2 linked regions of the Rattus norvegicus genome follow. The protein of the gene in region 1 purifies or fractionates together with the protein of each later gene. This does not show direct contact. Links are inferred from orthologs where the notes say so. Each region holds a gene or a part of one and is shown on either strand. Other genes may lie near its edges. The genes, in order: Tspyl1 and Ddx24.

Region 1 (3,914 bases):
GGTACCATGCTTTTATTTACCATCATGCATACAAACAGCAACAAATACACTCCGAGTACAGTGCTAATCTGACAAAGAACTTTTATAACTATGTGCAGTTTAAGAAGAGACTATCAAGTCAATCAAGTCACATATTTACTTTTCCATAAGTCAATAACTTGACACATTTGATAAAGACCAAATTATCCAAGCTGTTTCTAAGAATTTGGATTAATATTGAAAACTGTTATGAATATTCACTTAAGTCTATTGCTCTTCCAAGTGGTTTCAAATGAATGCAAATGAAAGTGTTTAAATTTCTCCAGTAAGTAGAAACAAGTAGCATTTTACTAAATGTTGGTAAAATATGAACACAGTATTACCCTTTCACTTACATTAGATCACATATAAAGAGAGAAAAATAACCCAAACGTGAACTGCTTCTTTAAAGAAGCGTTGTCTAGGCAACATTCAACACTCAGAGAAAGTATTTTTCCTGAGAAATTCTCTTCCCATCACCAATGACTGGCCAAAATATGAAAGCTCTCATCCTGTCTTCATCCTCAGCCCAATTTTTATCTGACTTACTTTGACTCTAAGCCTTTTCATTTTCAGCTCACTTTTCCTGCTTAAGGTACCCATCACAATCTCTTTAGTTCTTCCATACATTATTAGGAAAAGCTCACCTGTTTCCATCTAATTCTGTCTCTGTATTCTGTCTCCATATAAGCTTTTTAGGACTTGCTAGCTAACCAGGCTGAGGAGTGGGTAAGAGAGGAGACAAGGCAGAGTTCTGTGACCTCTTTTACAGAGCATCCTCTCAGGAAATGCTGAGTATAAATGAACTACAACTCCTGATCTTACAGGTGTTTTTGAACTACTTTTCTTTAAAATAACAGGAGAAAGGTGGGAGAGTGAGGGTGAGGAGTACTGGCAAACACAATGAAGCCTAGAAAAAGTCACAAAATGACACAGAAGGTGGCCCACTCCTGCAATGACCTTTAGGCCCAGCAACTGTCTGAAAACTTTTTGCCCACATTGCCACGTGCTGAACAGGTAAATAGAAGAGCCCCCAGATAAAGCAAGACATCTAGGTGGCAGTAAATGGGTAACACTGAAAACAGCGTCCACACAGTGTAAAGGCAGTGCGATACAAAGTTTCACTGTTAAGCTTAGAAAAGGTACAAGTCAGGGCCACGAACCGGCAGATACTAATTCAGGACAGCATGGGAGCCATGTGAAGGCAGAAGCATGCCCACAGTCTTAATCTCGAGGTGAGGAGACTATCCAAACAGAAGATGCTGAAAAGTCAGGAGGAAAGAAATCAAAACACTGCGTACCCGGTGCATTTGCTCAAGCACAGGCGAGAAGGGACTTATTCCAGCCAGCTGCATTTTCAAAAGCAAGGTTAGCCTGACTGGAAGCCAAAAGGCCTGGGAATCTCCACTGGTTCCCTTATTGGGCGACGTCGGGGTCTACGGATTCCTTCACGAGACAGGTAGTATTGCAGTGGGTTTGGCCACAGGTCCTCTTTGATAATCTCGGCGATCCTGTCAGATTCTGGAACGCTGTGGTCTGAGAACCAGGTGAAGAAGCTGCAGATGAGGTCTCGGTTTCTGCGAATGAAGGACTGGGGCTCATGCCCACTCCGCCATATGATTGGAGTGGAAAGAGACACCACTCGGCCGGATGATCTCACTTCATATTCTTTGACAATCAGCTTGTTTCTGAAGTAGGGGTTTCTTCGGAAAAAGAACTTGAATTTGCAGCCAGTCTTAGGATGCCTCAGTTCCTTCACCTCCAGATTGGTTATGTACCTTAACATCTCTGCATCCTGACCCCTAATCATGGCGGACAACTGAGGGTGGTTGCGGAAGGCGGTCATCCAGAAGCCTGGGATATTCTGAATGATGTAGTTCCTTCGCTCCAGATAGTGTCGCCGCATCCGCCCAAACTTCTGCTCCAGATGTTGGAAGGCCCTGTCGGCCTGAGCATTCACGGTGTCCAGTTCCAGCTGGATGGCCTCCAGCGGGTTCGTGCGAAGATCGATGCCCAGGTGCCAAGGCCCTGCCTCCTCCTGCGCCTCCCTGGCTCCTCCACTAGCCTCCGGCATCTCCATTTCTTCACCCGCGGGCTTCTGCTCCACCTCCATCACCTCCTCACTCCCTTGCATCGCCACTTCTGACTGCTCTCGCGCTGCCACCGCGACGGTGGCCCGTTCAATCTTCACGTCGTGGGCCCGGGCCTCCGCTCCCCGAGTTTCTAGGGCCTTCTCCGCATCTTTCGGTGCCACGAACGCCGCCGCCGCGGGGCCCTCGACAACAGGCGGAGTCTCTCCTTGCCTAGCTGCGGCCACCCGCACCTGGGGGCCAAGGCCCGCGACACCCCGGGGCGCTGGGCTCCCCACGATCCCCGCGCTGCCCTCACCTGTCACCGCCTTCTCGCCGAGCAGCGGACGCCAGCCTGGGGTCCCCGGGATAGTGTCAGCATCGCAGAGGCCGCGGTGGTCGGGCACAGGGGTCCCCTCGTCCGGCTCCCGGACGCTCATGTCCGGTCCGGTCGCACAGACCTCAGTTTACAAACCCTCAGGGTCCACGCAGCCCCACCTCCGCCCCTCGCTGTTTCTAGGGCGGTGACGTCAGGGCCGCAAGTACCGCGAGAGCCGGCAGCGCACCTGATTGGTTCCTCAGCGAGGATTGGCTTCCGTGTTTGTTTGGCTTCTGTAAACGTAGCGGTTTGCGATTGTCACGTTTATTTCGGTAAAGGAATGTCAGTTATCCTAGGAGACTGAAGGCAGTGGCGGGGCTTTTGGAAACGTCTCCCGCATCCCGGCTGCCGCCATGTGTGTCTGGGTGTCTGTGTGTCTGTGTGTTTGTGAGTGTGCGCACAGCATTTACTTTGCTTACTGTCCACAGCAAACAAGTTCATCCACTTTCCACTGACGTGAGAAGGTAAAAATACCGCCGGATATTCGAAAAAGCTAGGAGCCAAAATGTCTGTTTTTAACCAAGGTGAATGCCAAGGCACCCCCAAACCCCTTCACAGAACTGAAGAAATAATGAAGTCTGGCCTGGTGTGATGGCCCTTGCCTGGCGACTCGGTGCTCCGGTGCTGAGGCTCCTTGATTTGGAGGCTAACCTGGGCTGCATACACGTTGGCTCAAAAAGAATAAAAAAGCAGTTCTATTCTAACCTCGGACGTTACTGGGAACGAAGCTCGGTGGGTTTGGTTTTGAGAATTCCTGTTTTTTTGGGGAGATGTTTTGTGGTTATAATTAACGATTGTTTATACGGGTGCACTGTGATACACATCACGCTGTATAGTTCTTATAACAATCTTGTGATGTATTAAGATTTTTTTTTGAACAAGGAAAAACTGGGTCTCTTACCAAAATAACATTAAAAATGACAGAGCAATGATTTGAGCCCAGGAGATTTGATTCCGAGGCTCTTTGGACAGGATGTGACTTCACTTTAAGATATAAGCATTAACGCATAACTAATGTCAAGTTGGTACATATTTTCTCCCATCACCTTTCCTCATGAACAAATAAATTAATATTTAAGAACTTATTTCCTTTCTGTTTTGAGAAAAAGAAGGTAGTTATTCATGGTCCCCAAATTCAAATTTATCAGAACAAATGCCACCTTCTGAATAACAAATGTTTCCAAAAGGCCGTTTAACTCCTTTCGATAAAGTTCATAGACAATGTAACCCAGCTATAAACATAAATAGCAAATTTAACAATTTTACTATAAAGGTTATTGTAGTGGTGGCGATTTTAGTATAGCAAAGGGGTCAACGACTTAGATTATTATAAGAACTATATGACGCGGTGTTTATCACACAGTGGTAAATTCACCAATAAGAACATGGTTAGAAAATTACATGCTTCATAAAAGTCAGTGTGGATGGAGAGTAACACAGATATCTAT
Region 2 (3,914 bases), on another chromosome or scaffold:
GGCTGAGGAAAACACCAATTATTTAAACCCACTCTGATAACTGAAACGACAACACTTCAAGTTAATGAGACCAGTTTAATGCCAACACTACAAGAAAACTACAGATGACTATTCTAATGCCACAGCCGCACTTGACCAAAGCCAGTGATGTATAAACACACTGTGACAAGCTCACTATGTGTGAGGAAAGTCTGGTTCTCACTTTTGGAAATCAATGTAATTTGCTTTATCAGCAGACTAAAACCAAAAACCTACATACCTCAATACATACAATATGAACATGTGTAAAAACTCTGACATGCATTTTTGATTTTAAAAACTCTCGGTAGAGTTGTGAGAGAACACTCTCAATCTGACGCGGTCCAGCTGTGCAGACACAAAGTAGTGTTCTCACCTCCATCTCACCTTGGGCCTCAGAAACAGAGCGGAGTACCAGATTCAAGCAGGACAGATTTCAGCCCAGAGCTGAATGGTTCTAACACCTTCCGTGGCTTTTGTGGCCACATTCCCAACAATCCCCTCTCCTAGTTTCCCAGCCTGTGAGCAACCAAAGGCTGGCTCCAGGAGCTCTACCTAGGGCAGACAGAGCATCCCTTACCTGTCTCAGCAGCTCCAAGGATGTCCAGTTTGTCACGGATGGCAGGGGCCAAAGTCAGCGCTTGGATTGGGGTGGGTGCAGAGAAACCTAGAAAGCTGAGAGCTCGGAGAACAGCCTTGGGTACAAACAGGTCCCTCCAGGCCGACACGTCTGCCTTCTGGTCTTGCACCTCAGGCATCCACGTCTTAGCTTTTTTGGGCACTTTGGGGGCAGTGCTCTGAAAAGTGTCTAATTTTTTTTTCCCTTTGTTTTTCTTCTTTCTTGGAACAGTCTGTGCCAGGCTTTCCGATGTGGCTCCTCCTACCTTCTGATCAGAACACACAGTGATTTCTCCCTGAGCCCCTGGCTCAGAAGCTTTCCCTTCACATTCATCCTGGGCAGCGCTGCCTTCAGCAACGAGGATTGCATCTCTCTGCTTCTTCAATTTGATCTTTTTCTTTGGGGAGCTGGACTCTCCCTCCTCCTCTTCTTCCTCTTCAGACACAGCCTGGGCCTTTCTCTTCTTGGTCGTCTCATCTGAGAACAAACGGGAGGGATTCTTGACTAAGCGGTAATCTGTCAGTTCCTCAAAGCACACCAAGTCATCCATCTGTCCATCTGCAAACAGATTTGGGTCGATCGTCACTTGCTTCCATTTCCCCACAACCTTGATGCCCTTCCTCTGAAATGTGCCACGGCTTGCTGACTTGGGCTTCGATTTTGTCTCCTTCAACTTCATGGTTGCTGAAAAGAAATGCTCTTTTGGGTTAGTGACTGTGGAGCACAGGTTCAAGGGCAACACACACTTTCCTAAAATGTACTCAACCCTGCAAACAGTTGAGGACATGAAGATGGTTTACCCTGCATAGAGAAGATGTTCTCATGCAGAAAATGAAACCCACTCACAGAATAGGTAGTTGGGCTTGGAACAGATGGGACGCAGGCAACAGAGTAAAAAGATACATGAGCTAACTCTGGTTCTGATCCTAGCTCCAACACTTAACTTGTTGCAACCTTCAACCACACTCCCTACTCCTCTCAGAATTTAGTGTTATAATCTTTTTAAATGAGAGGGGTGTGGTACTATCTAATAATATGTAATTTTAAACTGTACACAAAATAATTGAAAGTAAGAAGAGATAGGCTGATGCTTGACCAGTTAGTTACTACAGAAGTCATTTTGAACACGGAGTAAGAGTCTGAGAGAGTGTGGTTTTTTTTTTTTTTTTAAAACAAGTGCACTGTGCTTTCTTCCCTAGTAGAACCAGAGAAGTCCCATTTCTATTCTGGCCTTCGCCAGATAGGTTAAAACCCGGGAAGTCTAGGTTCCAGCCCCAGCACTGTGTAAAACCGTATATAGTGGGTATCCAGCCCTCGGAAACGGAAGTAGGAAGATCAGGAGCTCAAAGCCAGCCTTGGCTACACAAGACCCTGTCTTTAAAGTCTGGAAGGCAGTTATGCATGACTCTATGCATGACTCATCTGAGTGAAAGTGGCTTCACATTGGCCCTCTTTATATGAAAAAGAATATTGTGGAGAGCATTAGGTAAAACTCGATTCAAATCTGGATCCTGGACTTGCCAACTCTGAGTGTTTGCTGAACATCTCTGTGCCTCAGTTTCCTTAACTACAATTTGAGGATAATGAGATATTTATCCCACCTGGGTTGTCATTGAAGAATACGAAATAGTGACGTACATCAAAAATCACTTAACATGGCGTCTGTGTGGAGGCACGTTGACTCGCAGGCAAGGATCGCCCAGCAGTCTCTGGTATGGGACGCAAAGCGACCCCCGACCCCCACCGCACCTCGGACCCACCTTGACGAGAGAACGGGAACGTCACTAGAAATAGGGCGCTGGGAGTGACCTGTACCGCTTCCAAGAGTCCCACGGGCACTATAGCCGATAGAGACTTCAAGGGAGGTTGCTGGGCCTTGATGCTTAAGAGAAGGCGTGAGCCATCGGGAACCAAGGCTGTAGAGACACCTGTGAGTCACTATGCTTCGGAGACAATGGGGAGACATCCGCAGCTAGCCAAGGCCTGCCAGCTCCGGATCCACAAAGAACACTCACCGCGGCAGTATCCTCACACGCCAGACCGCCTGCGCCAACCCGACCCGGAACTGCAGCAGCTCCTGCACTGCAGTTCCGGAGCACAGTTCCGGGGCGGGGCTCCTTGCACGCGTGCGCGTTGCAGAAGGAAGTCCCGCCTTTGTGCGGAAGCGTCTATCTGATTGGCACTCCCACAGGACTTGGGCCGGAACCTGGAGGGCTGGGCTAGGGTGCCCTGCGTAGCCTAGGATACGCTTCCTGTTTATGGCCTTGGCAGTGTTTCGGAGCTGTTTCCTCGACACTAGGGAGCGCAAGTGTCCGCGTAATCTTGGTCTGGTTTGCGTGCAATAGCATGTTATTGAGTAACTGACTACCTGGAGCCTTAAAACATTTCTTTATCTAATTTACAAACCACCCAAGCCTGTATTGAAGGGCCATGTTCTCCGGTTCGGTAGTGCCTTCCTACCTCACAGAACTGGTCAAGATGGAACTGCCTGTCTCAAACGCAACTTTTAGACCCGGACAAAATAGGCTTAAACATTAATTAGATTAAATTAACAAGTTTCTTAAGGGCTATGAGGATACACAAGAATAAGAAAACAGAATAGGAGCCAGATAGTGATGGCACATGCCTTTAGTCCCAGCACTTGGGAGGCAGGAAGATCACTTAAGTTCGAAGCCAGTCTGGTCTAGAGAGCAAATTCCGGGACCTTAGAGTGAAGGAAATCCTGTAAACTACACATCAGAATGTGGTTAACTAGGCAGGAAAAAGCATTCAGAAATCGATAGCAAAAGGACACTTTTAACAAAATGGGCAATAAACCTAAATAAGCATTTCTCAAAAGGTACAAGAAAAGATGCTCAGTGAGCCTCTAGTCAATAGGATAATGGAAACTAGAGCCACAGGTAGACATGGCCTCACTGCAGTGAGAATGCTGACCAGTGCTGACGGACATGACTGTTGGCTAGGGGGCTGTTGGGACAGGGAACGAAGCCTGGCACATCGTTGTGGGATGTAACTAAGTACAGCCATCATGGAAATTCCTGAAGAGTGAGAAACTAGAACTACCATCTGCTCAGAATGTATGCCTGTGACCAGGAATATATCCAAAACAAGTGAAGTCTGTCGAAAAGAGACCCACAGTCCTGCATGCATCAAACACTTCAAGATAGCCAAGAAATGAACAGAGCCATCAGCCAATGAGTGGATTCATTCAGGGAATGTGGTGCTCAAGCAGAGTAGAATAGTATTTGTTCAACCCCTCCACCCCCCAAAAAAAATC

The links.
Region 2: the proteins of Tspyl1 (region 1) and Ddx24 purify together in Homo sapiens (affinity purification with mass spectrometry; 3 studies listed by BioGRID and IntAct, counting the BioPlex papers as one, with this or other methods). This does not show direct contact. The link is inferred for Rattus norvegicus from reciprocal best matches to the Homo sapiens genes TSPYL1 and DDX24.

The regions. Positions count from the first base shown.
Region 1 is NC_086038.1:39,635,679-39,639,592, reverse strand, and holds the start of Tspyl1 (testis-specific Y-encoded-like protein 1), read right to left. Parts: upstream 2,559-3,914; 5' UTR 2,528-2,558; coding exon 1,388-2,527; 3' UTR 1-1,387.
Region 2 is NC_086024.1:128,344,018-128,347,931, forward strand, and holds the start of Ddx24 (ATP-dependent RNA helicase DDX24), read right to left. Parts: upstream 2,699-3,914; 5' UTR 2,653-2,698; exon of another isoform or gene 2,239-2,652; intron 1,322-2,238; 5' UTR 1,317-1,321; coding exon 599-1,316; intron 1-598. UniProt on the Homo sapiens protein: ATP-dependent RNA helicase that plays a role in various aspects of RNA metabolism including pre-mRNA splicing and is thereby involved in different biological processes such as cell cycle regulation or innate immunity.